Daphnia pulex: one gene and its partners. The protein of the gene in region 1 interacts with the protein of each later gene in a biochemical or structural test. Links are inferred from orthologs where the notes say so. Each region holds a gene or a part of one and is shown on either strand. Other genes may lie near its edges.

The links.
Region 2: of the proteins of histone-lysine N-methyltransferase EHMT2-like (region 1) and DNA ligase 1-like, one has a biochemical effect on the other in vitro, tested with the Homo sapiens proteins (3 studies listed by BioGRID). The link is inferred for Daphnia pulex from reciprocal best matches to the Homo sapiens genes EHMT2 and LIG1.
Region 3: the proteins of histone-lysine N-methyltransferase EHMT2-like (region 1) and chromobox protein homolog 1-like form a complex in vitro, tested with the Homo sapiens proteins (2 studies listed by BioGRID). The link is inferred for Daphnia pulex from reciprocal best matches to the Homo sapiens genes EHMT2 and CBX1.

What each region holds. Positions count from the first base shown.
Region 1 is NC_060028.1:9,379,331-9,382,411, reverse strand, and holds the end of histone-lysine N-methyltransferase EHMT2-like, read left to right. Parts: coding exon 1-120; intron 121-181; coding exon 182-340; intron 341-407; coding exon 408-617; intron 618-690; coding exon 691-835; intron 836-894; coding exon 895-1,003; intron 1,004-1,067; coding exon 1,068-1,239; intron 1,240-1,303; coding exon 1,304-1,382; intron 1,383-1,454; coding exon 1,455-1,802; 3' UTR 1,803-2,478; downstream 2,479-3,081. UniProt on the Homo sapiens protein: Histone methyltransferase that specifically mono- and dimethylates 'Lys-9' of histone H3 (H3K9me1 and H3K9me2, respectively) in euchromatin.
Region 2 is NC_060017.1:4,260,977-4,265,317, forward strand, and holds the start of DNA ligase 1-like, read left to right. Parts: upstream 1-1,420; 5' UTR 1,421-1,517; coding exon 1,518-1,546; intron 1,547-1,609; coding exon 1,610-1,702; intron 1,703-1,849; coding exon 1,850-1,954; intron 1,955-2,023; coding exon 2,024-2,122; intron 2,123-2,182; coding exon 2,183-2,388; intron 2,389-2,472; coding exon 2,473-2,621; intron 2,622-2,678; coding exon 2,679-2,814; intron 2,815-2,880; coding exon 2,881-3,040; intron 3,041-3,141; coding exon 3,142-3,480; intron 3,481-3,687; coding exon 3,688-4,132; intron 4,133-4,208; coding exon 4,209-4,341. Other genes in the region: sorting nexin-13-like, read right to left, coding at 1-23, 83-252, 315-547, 606-814, 891-996, 1,063-1,169.
Region 3 is NC_060019.1:11,841,738-11,845,477, reverse strand, and holds chromobox protein homolog 1-like, read right to left. Parts: upstream 2,110-3,740; 5' UTR 1,972-2,109; intron 1,733-1,971; exon of another isoform or gene 1,731-1,732; 5' UTR 1,675-1,730; coding exon 1,556-1,674; intron 1,490-1,555; coding exon 1,240-1,489; intron 1,169-1,239; coding exon 1,071-1,168; intron 965-1,070; coding exon 808-964; 3' UTR 515-807; downstream 1-514. Other genes in the region: heterogeneous nuclear ribonucleoprotein A1, A2/B1 homolog, read left to right, coding at 2,413-2,517, 2,653-2,795, 2,893-3,013, 3,073-3,283, 3,345-3,626, 3,691-3,740. UniProt on the Homo sapiens protein: Component of heterochromatin. Recognizes and binds histone H3 tails methylated at 'Lys-9', leading to epigenetic repression. Interaction with lamin B receptor (LBR) can contribute to the association of the heterochromatin with the inner nuclear membrane.

The DNA of each region.
Region 1 (3,081 bases):
AGAAGCTTGCCATTACATCATGACAATCGGAAATGGCAAAAATTTCATCAACGTTCAAGACGATGGAGGATGGACACCACTAGTCTGGGGTTGTGAACATCGACGAGTAGACATAGTCAAGTAATGATCAAACATTTACTGAACCTGAGGTCAATTCTACATAAAATAACTTTTCTTTTAGATACTTACTTCAATGTAAGGCAAATCCTAATGTGCGAGACGCGGAGCAGAACGTTGCTTTGCACTGGGCTGCTTTCTCTGGATCCGTTGATATTGTTGCCCTTCTACTTGACCAAGGATGTGAAGTGAATGCTGCCAACGTTCATGGCGACACTCCACTGTAAGTTGATTTTTGTTTCATTTTCAGGATGAGTTGATTTCTTTATCGTTACATTGTGCAATTAAAGGCACACGGCAAGTCGTCGAGATAACTGTGAATGCGCCTTGCTCCTGATACATAGAGGCGGGCGTTTCGATCTAAGGAATAAAGAGAATCAATTAGCTTTAGAGGTTTGTCCTGATAAGCGGTGTGACTCGGCTTTATTGTTGACGGTCAATATGAAACTTCAGCCATTTACTCAAACGCCGTATTGTGACTCTGAAAAATTCCTCTCAAAGTAAGATCAAGTATTCAGTACAAGACATATTCAAAGAAGACTTAAATCAACGGATTCTTCAATTGTTTTACAGCGACATCACTAAAGGGAAAGAGGCCAACCCGATTCAGTGTGTAAATGGATTTGACGATGAGCCTAAGCCTAACGACTTTATCTACATCACAGAAAACTGCTTCACGAGTCCACTACATGTCGACAGAACCATCAACTCGCTAACGGTATTGTTAAAATTACAACTACTAAATAGAAAAATAAGTTAAACAAAATTTAATTCTAGTTTTGCGAATGTGTTGGTGACTGCTCAACCAACTGTAACTGTTCTAGTCTCAGCTTTCGTTGCTGGTACGACGAAGAAGGCAAACTGGTGCCCGACTTTAATTTCGCAGGCAAGTCTTGGATACAAGTAGCCTATGTTAAAAATTACTAACACGTTTAGAATTATTGCAACAGATCCGCCAATGTTGTTCGAATGCAATCGTGCATGTCAGTGTCATCGGGGATCGTGCAACAACCGTTTAGTTCAACATGGAATTACCTCGCGTTTAGTTCTTTTCCGCATCGAAAACAAAGGTTGGGGCGTCCGAACAGCTCAACCCATTCCTATGGGATCCTACGTCTGCGAGTAAGTGCACCCGAACTTTGTCGTGATTTTCGTAGATAATAACCTTGTTTATCTCATCTCGTAGATACATTGGCGAAATCATCACAGACTTTGAAGCTGATCAACGTGAGGATGATTCATATCTTTTCGATCTGGATAACAAGGTAAGTTTATGAATGAAAAAGTACTTAAGCGAAAGTTGCTGCATGATCTTACCTATTAATATTTGTTAATAGGACGGAGAAACTTACTGCATCGACGCCCGCCGTTATGGCAATATAGCCCGCTTCATCAACCACTCTTGTGAACCTAACTTAATTCCGGTAAAAGTTTTTGTCGACCACCAGGATTTGAAGTTTCCGCGCATCGCATTCTTCGCCGTCCGAGATATTGAAGCCAATGAAGAGCTGGCTTTTGATTATGGTGACAAATTTTGGATTATCAAATATAAGTCATTCACGTGTTCGTGCCAATCGCCGAAATGCAAGTACTCGCAGTTGACGATTCACCGAACAGTAGAAGAATATCGGCGTAGCCTGCAACTTCAAGAACTCGAAAATGGCTACCAGCACTCCCAACGTTAGTAATAAAAAAACAAATTTCTAGTTGCTGCCAACTTATGCATGCGCTCTCCCAAATGCCATTCATTATTACTCTTCCCGTTATACTTTGTCTTACCTTCGTTCAAAGTTTTACATAATGAACTATTGTTGACTTGCAATATGCCATTTGGATTCAACACTACTCAAAATTTTGCCACCTACTCCCCACTTCCATTTGTGCTCTATCATACCTGCAAGTTGGTTTTTATTACCTACGAAACGTTAATGAACTCAATTTGGTAATGTTGAAGAAAAGAAACGATTGTTTACCGTTCCCTCACCTACTTAATTTTTAATCACCATGATTACGTCGTAATGAACTTGTTGTTGACAAGCAACTTTAGGAATGAAATGATCCCCTGCTAAACAAGTGCGTGTAGAAAAAAATCCTTGTAGCTACGCGTTGATCAGTATGTGCAATTTGTTTTTTCCTAGTCCCATGTTTTTTTTTTCCTATAGCTGTCCTACGTCTTATCAATGTTAATGGTAGCTCCACTTTACATGGGTAACACTATTCGATTCAAATGACTTGTGGGTGCATCGTGCATCATCTCTTCTGTAAATAAATCTCACCTGAATGTATGTTCAAGTCTCGTCTCGCATTTTCCTCCCTTGTACTTGTCAATTTTTCTTGGCAAAATATACCTCGTTTTGCGTAGATGTTGCTGTTTTAGTTCCTTAATGAGTGAGCCACTCCTCATTCTACCTGAAATGTATAGAAATAGTATTAATTCATTTCAAAAAGAATTTTTAAAAAAGAAACAAAATGAATGTTTTGTTTTTCTTTTAAACAAGCGCGAATAACGGCCTGATTGTGTAATATTGCACGATAAATGAAACAAACCTCAGAAAAAACGATAACACTGACGCAAAACTCTTCTGTCCAAAAAAGAAATTCATCAACATACATAAAAATTGCTTGTCAAACTACACCACCACAATATTAATGAAAACCATCATGATAATGACAGTGAAGTGATAATAATGCGCAATATGTCGATCTTGTCGGGAAGAACAAGGTGAAACAATCAGGTGAGAATTGTCTGGGTTTTTATGGGTAGGGAGTGAGTGAGGGAGTGGGAGATTAGGCGTAAGGAACACACTCAGTTGGAACAATCAGTACCAATTAAATTCTGGAAAGATACTTTGGCAAAGAAAAGTGCAATAACAATGCGTAAGGGCCCGTAGGCCTAGGCAGATAAAATCAGAAATTTAATGGCACAAACATCTAGTGACCGGGCTTCCAGTTTTACCAAAAACA
Region 2 (4,341 bases), on another chromosome or scaffold:
CTTGTTATTTGACAATTTTTACACTATAAGGGTAAAAACTGATTACAAAAGGAAACTAAGAATGTCAGTAATAAAATCGTACCAGCCAAATCACAGTTTGATTAATGTAGTCCGGATCTGAAAGCAGGTCGAACAGTGGAATGATAATTTCACCTGCTAGTATCTGGGAAGAGAGCAAGTTCAGTGGGCGACAGTTTAATTCTTCCTTTCCAAGTAGTTGAAGTAAGAAATCAGAAAGGATCTTTAAGCACTCTTTAAATATGACAAAAAAAATCAATTAAAAGGCCAACTCATTATTAATAAATATCTTCAACCTTTTTCATAAGAAGGATCCATTGAAATTCTTTTTCTTGAATTTTTTTTGGTACCAGATCTTTCAAGTTCAAAAAAAGTAGCGACAAGATTTTGATTCATGCCTTTTGCAGAATCGTCATTACTAGTCTTTTGGTTTAATCTGTTTTTTGCCTCGCGATATGTACGTATGTGAGCAATCACACTGTCAAAAAATCTTGTAGTAAGAAAAGGAAGCCAATCAACTTCTTTGCATCTATGTGAAGAAAAATATAGCAAAACAAGTCATTGTGTCAAATAAAATACTTTGATACCTATTGGATGCATTGATTGCTATTTTTTGCAAAAACTGTTTTGATTCAAACAGGAACTCTGTTTCTTTTGTTACTAAACTGTACCAGTTTTCAACATAGTCTCGTATGATGTATTGGAACACATCTTGCACAGCATCATCAATTATACTTGAGCCAGAAAGTCTTTTATCCACACTTATTTTATTATCTCCAGCTGACTGTTTAGTTGACTAAAATGAATCAATTAATAATTATTAGTTAAATTTAATAATTTCATTCTGTCTTTTTTATTGACTGTTATACTACCATTTTAGGCAAGCTTTGTGACGCTGCTGTACATTGAATGCTGAAGACATCCAACAAGTCTGTAGAAACTATTGATTGGGTCTCATTAAAAAAACCAACGAAAAAACTGTAAATCCATCAAGGGTTGGCTGATTATAAGACTGAATGAACATTTGGCATATATATTACAGACCTTGCTGCTAGGAAGATGAAGAAAATTGTGGTAGAAAGGGCAGTATTGAAACCCATCATTACTGCAATAAAAACTACTGCAACTATTCCTATTCGATGCGATTTCATCTTTCATCTATCTAGTATTGAAACTCAGTTATTTCCAAAACACTGTAATTTGGGATCATTTACAGAATCGAAAGATGAAACAAACAACCGTAATGCCAAAATATAGATACATGACCGAGTTCTTGCATTTAATTACAACATCCACTAAACCAGCTAAAACTAAACAAGCAAATGCTCATTAGCTGTTGCTGCACTAGAAAAGGCTAACCAACACGGATGATCGAGGGTGTATTTTACAACTTTGTCATCAGATGGGTCTGGAGTCTGGACTCCTCCAATAGGGGCAACCTTTTGTTTTTTTGTAGATCTAGGCGCGAAAAATAGACAACACAATTCATCAACGAAAAAATGGATGGTCAAGGACAGCGTCTAATAACGTAAAAATTCTGTTAATAGATTGAAATTAAATTTTGTTTATTACCTCTGAAGTTCGTGAATAGGTCTTTTTTTGGTAAACCACGTGCAACGTCTGTTAAGCAAGAAGTAAAAGAGGAAAATATTGAAAAGAAGAGTACTGACGACACATCGTCACCGTGAGTAGCAAAAACAAAAACTATGCTTTCCAGATTGTTGAGATGCAATGCCACAAAAGAAATTATTTTCAATTTTAGTAGATTGTGCACTGTAGATCATTTATGTGTTAAACAAAAACCCAAAACCTTATTTTTGCAATTCATTAGGGAAAAAAACAGTTCTTTACTAGACAAGCCAGCAGTTCAAAGTGCTAAGAAGAAAGTAATAAAGAAACTTGACAGTGATGATGAGGAACCTGTTTCTCAGAAAAAGTAATGAGCACTGTAGATCATTTATGTGTTAAACAAAAACCCAAAACCTTATTTTTTGCAATTCTTTAGAGAAAAAAACAGTCCTTTACCAGACAAGCCAGTTCAAAGTGCTAAGAAGAAAGTAAAGAAACTTGAAAGTGACGATGAGGAACCTGTTTCTCGGAAAAAGTATAATGAGCATTCCAGTATCAAACCCACATTTTCATTTATTATCTTACTTATACTTAGGAGAAGAAAGTGTGCAGTTAGTAGCAGCAGTGAAGATTCAGAACCAGATAGTGCGATTGAGAAACCGGCTGTGCTTAAAAAAGCAGATATTTTTTTGAAAAGTGTGAAATCCCCAACTAAATCTTCAAAATTACCTTCCAGTAATGAAACTCCTCTCAATGGGAAACTTGAAATTAAAAAATCTAATGTGTCACTAACCACCAAAGGTTTGATATAAGACATATATTACAGAAAGGTGTTCATGGTGTTACCTAAATATAATTGTTTTAATGGTAATTTTTTTAATTCAGATGCACATGATTCAAAAGATGGTGTAACTGAATTGTTGAATCCTGATTCATATAATCCTGGGAAACAAAATTATCATCCTATTCAAGATGCAACATGGAAAAAGGGAGAAAATGTCCCTTACATGGTTCTTGCTAAAACACTGGAATTAGTAATTAAAAATTAACAAATTCTACATTATACCTTATTTAATGGAAATGTTTACCAGATTGAAGAAACCAGTTCCAGGTTAAAAATGATAGAGATTTTAGCTAACTATTTCCGAAGTGTTTTCCTGTTGTCACCAGATGATTTACTATGTTCTGTTTACCTATGTTTAAATCAGTTAGCCCCTGCATACATGGGTAAGTCCAGCATAAAATCAAAAATAATTTTTTACACCACTTTATATTTTGCTTAATGATTTGCAGGTATAGAACTTGGTGTAGGAGAAGGCATAATAATTAAAGCAATTGCACAAGCTACTGGAAGAGCAACAGATAAAGTTAAATCTGATGTTGCTACTAAAGGGGATGTTGGGTTGGTAGCAGAGGCATCCAAAGGCACACAGAGGACTCTTTCTATGTTTAAGTAATGTTTTTTTTTTTTTTTTTTTAATCTTAAAACTTATATAATATGTTAATTATTTATTTGGTTTGATTATATCAATTTGTTATGATTTATGTTTACAGACCAGTGAGTTTAACTGTGAAAAGCGTTTTCACTAAATTAACAGAAGTAGCCGTGATGACTGGAAATAGTTCTCAAATAAAGAAAGTTGATAAGATTCATGGAATACTCGTTGCTGCAAAGCAATTAGAATCACGTTTTATTACCCGATCGCTTGCTGGAAAACTTCGTATTGGGTTAGCTGAACAATCAGTACTTCAAGCTTTAGCTTTTGCAGCTACTGCAACTCCTCCGAACCAATCTACACCGCCTACCCAGTTGAATTGTTTTGCGGGACTTAGTAGCGAAACCATTAAAGCAAAAGTGGAAGCTTCGGCGGTTATTTTGAAGACAGCATATTGGTAAATATTGGCTCCAGATCTCATTTTATATTTACTGGAAATGTTTTAAAAATAATTTAATTAAATCTGAGATCGGTATTAAGTTACTACATTTACTCGCGCTGTTGTTAAGTGTTGCCCTTCGTTATAAGAGAAACAGTGTCAATAATGGAATATTTTTCTTTTTGTAATATCAAATATGTAACTCGATCATTTTCTTTCTTGCAGCCAATGCCCTAGTTACGATCAAATTATTCCAGTTCTCTTACGCGAAGGCGTAGAAGCGCTCCCGCTACACTGTACACTAACTCCGGGTGTTCCACTAAAACCCATGTTAGCGTGTCCCACACGAGGAGTCGGAGAAGTATTACAAAAATTTGAATCTACCAAGTTTACTTGCGAATGGAAATATGATGGCGAAAGAGCTCAGATACATCTTCTCGAGAACGGGGAAATCAGAATTTACAGCAGAAACCAGGAAAATAACACTTCCAAATATCCAGACATAATCAGTCGCTTTCAATCGTGGATTGAACCATCAGCTTCAGTCCGCTCAGCTATTTTGGATACCGAAGCTGTAGCGTGGGATACAGAGAAGAAACAAATTCTTCCATTTCAAATACTTTCAACAAGAAAACGAAAGGATGCTGTGGAAGCTGACATCAAAGTCCAAGTATAATATTTCAATATGTTCAACGTAAGCAACCATTTCCTTACCTTTTCGTTCATTCAAATTTAATCCTTAAAAGGTTTGCGTGTATGCGTTTGATTTGCTCTATTTAAATGGGGAATCTCTTGTTACAATGCCGTTAATAGAACGTCGGCAAAGACTTTGGAATAGTTTCCACAAAGTTGACGGCCAGTTTGGCTTTGCCACCAGCA
Region 3 (3,740 bases), on another chromosome or scaffold:
AAGGAATTGTCTTTAATGATGAATGAAAGCAGTTAGGAAATTAATAAGATACATTTAGATTCATGAAAACATTTTAAATCAAGGATCTAGTCGCCTACATTTGTATTTTCTCTGAATTGGTCCAAATTCAGGATAATATTCCGCTGTATTTCTAATTCAAAGGTTACGTCAATCCCAACAGTCCCAAGATTCGAATATTGAAATTATTAGTTACAATTGTAAAAGGAAACTACCACGATATTTGCACTTTTTGACGTTTGTGTTACGCCATCAGTTTTTCTTTTTCGTCTTTCGAACTTGGCACAGTTTGGAGCGAAGTGAACTAACACCGTTACGTCGGTTAATGGACTAGAGCTTTACCTTTTTTGCCGTTTAGCCATCTTTCTAACCCAAGAGCCCATGGAAAAATACTTTTTATCAACAAGACTTTTTTTATCAAGCCGTAAGATTAAGGTCACGCGGGTAAATGAATAGTTTGTACTGATAGCAGTTCAGCTATAGTGGCAGCATGACGTACGAAAAAGTTGACGTTGTATTTCTGGTTACTTCGATCGTACATTTGGAAAAGAAAACTCGAAGACAGGGAATATAACTCGGGGCGTTCATGGAAACTTAAAAACAATGCCGAGCGTGCAAAAAACTCGAAGACCATAATGCAAATGAAAATGAGTAAATGAACGAAAAATGAGGGATTGTTGTGACGTGGGAGGATACGGAGAAGTAAGACAAGTTTCGCGTGGTTCAGTATTTTAGTTAAAACCAGCTTAATAGCATTTTAAGACATCGAAATTTGAGGATTTTAACTATTTATTCGGTTGCGTCTTTCTCTTTGACGTCACCGTCGTCATTGTCGTTGGCGTTGCTATGCCATGTCAGGCGCTCTTCATAAAACTGAATCACGACCTGTGGACATTGCTTGTTGGCTTGGCGGGCTGGAACTAGATCTGCTTCATCGCTGGATTTCCTGTAAGATTTAAAAATAATCAAAAAAAAACGTGTTAATTAAGATGCTGTAACTTGTGATACAATAGCATATGACATTGAACAACTTTTTGTTTTACTATACGAACCATTTCATAAGAAACATGAGTTCGCCACTAGAATCTGTGGCGCCGATAATCTTTTCGGGGTCAAGTCCTCGTTCAAACCCTCTTGGACGATTTTCTTCCTGGAAGTCACAAATAAAACGTATAAATGATCATAACCAAAGCCAACTTATTGTCGTGAAATTCCACAAACCTCCGAAGTCTTCTTCTTTGCTGGTCTTTTTTCTTCTGTGGTTTTTTTGTCACGTTCTTCAATTGGGAGTGAACGCTTTTTCTCTTTTTTGTCAATTTCTTTCTTTTTTTCCTTTTCCTTTTCTTTTCTTTTTTCCTCAAATTCTGAAATCAAAGCAGGGCAGTCTAGGTTTTCCTCAGGTTCCCAGGTATTGTCATCATCATCGTAGCCTTTCCACTTTAGGAGATATTCAACTCGGCCATTTCGTACTCTGAATTTGATAGATGACATTTGTTGGTCAATAATGATCAACGACAATATAAATATTTATATATACCTTCTATCCATAACTTTTTCAACAGAGTATTCCTCTTCAGCAGGACTTTCTGTTGCTGGAGTAGCAGGAGTTTGTTCATCCAAAACTTCTTTCTCTTTCCCTTTTGTGCTTCGGCCCATGTTGGAAATTGTGTAGCTTTTTTCACAAATACTAATTTCTAAAAGAGCTGACTTATCTGCAAATAAACAGATAAAAAGATTATATATCACGGCCACAGTGGAGTCTGATCACACGAGAAATAGACATTTTTGTTGAGGGGATTAATCACGAGCTTGGTTACATAGACGTTTCTCACCGCCACAATCGAATATAATAAATATAATAGATTATTTTGGCATGGGCAAATGATATGAAATAAGTGTAGTTTTCTGGGCATTCAAAAATATTTTGTGGCTGATGGAACCAAACTCAATTACCTTAACTTAATTCGCGTGATAAAAAACGTTGAAAAGTCTGTAACAAACCGACAAGAAATGCGTTTAGTAGGAAACCATGACTCTAAGGGGAAAAAAGGAGAGCGAGAAAAGGGCGCCAAATTTGCACTTAATAAAAAAAATAAAATAATTATTGATAAAAATATTAAGTGGTCCAAAAGATACAAGAACAAATTCTAAATTTTTCCAGCTATTTATTCTAGTTGTTTTTATAAAACATAATCAAATTAGAAGAAAAAAATAATAAAATAAATACTGATTGCTGTTGGGAAATCGTACAACTTGGCAACGTTGCAATCGAGACAAAATTTGGCAACATTGTTCCTTCCCTTCCGACTTTGCTGGATGACGCTTTGATCAAAGCATAAGAAGAAGAAGTGAGCAATCCCGGCGTACTTGTGTTACACGTTGGTTAGTCGAAAAATGAAATCCGAAACCGAAGAACAACAGCAGCAACAGCCTGAGCCGGTCGTTGAAGAAGAAGAACGAGAAACTAAACCACCAGCAACAGAACAACACACCGTTAAGGTTAGATTTTGCTTTATTAATAAATAAAATTGCTGATGATGGAACCCCTAGTTTTGCGACCCTTGACGTATTGTGAAACGTAGTTTTAAGTTCCTTGTTTATTTAAATGACACAAACATTCTATTTGATTTGTAGGAGAAACCTGAAGCTGAGCAGTTTCGAAAGTTGTTCATTGGTGGACTTGACTATCGCACAACTGATGAATCCCTGAAAAAACATTTTGAACAATGGGGCCAGATTGTGGATGTTGTTGTAATGAAGGACCCCAAGACGAGGAAGTAAGTTGATACCAGTCTTTCATACCTTGGAATGCTATTTTGATAAAGTGTTCTTAATGTTAAAATGAAAATTAATTTGGGGTAATGATTCTTTCAGGTCTCGTGGTTTTGGATTTGTAACATATGCCCGAGCTTTCATGGTAGATGAAGCCCAAGCAGCAAGACCTCACAGAGTAGATGGCAGAGAGGTTGAGCCAAAGCGTGCTGTCCCTAGAGATGTTAGTTTGTCTTACTATTGATTCTATTCTAAATATTTGTCTAACATTTTCTTAAATAGTTGATAGGCAAACCTGAAGCAAGCTCAACTGTCAAAAAACTTTTTGTTGGTGGTCTGAGGGATGATGTTGAAGAAGAGGACTTGCAAAAGTACTTTTCAACATTTGGTCCAATCGCCTCAGTGAATGTTGTTACAGAAAAAGAAACCAACAAGAAAAGAGGTTTTGCATTTGTTGAATTTGATGATTATGATCCAGTTGACAAAGTTGTTTGTAAGTACATGGCCTACATTTTTCTGGTATCTTGTAACTAAAAAAATCTTGTGTGTTCTAGTGATTCGTGACCACACTGTTAAAGGAAGACATTTAGATGTTAAAAAAGCTATCAGCAAAGCTGATATGGATAAGATGAAGCGTGGCGGTCCTTCTCCTGGATCGTCACCTTCAGGTCGTGGTGATTACCGCGGGTATCGAGATAGCGGCCGAGGTGACCGAAACGCCGACAGAGGCGGGGATTTGTGGGAACGACGGGATTCATGGAGCAACGGAGGAGGTTCTGGTGGGGGCTGGAGCAATGGAGATCATTGGGTTGGTGGAGGATCTAGTAGTTATCGAGGTAAGTTTTTAAATAAAATTGACTTATTATCACTTTTTAATCTATTTATCTACTCTTTAACTAGGAGGAAATGGTGGAGGTCGCGGTGGAGATTATGGTAATGGACAATGGGAA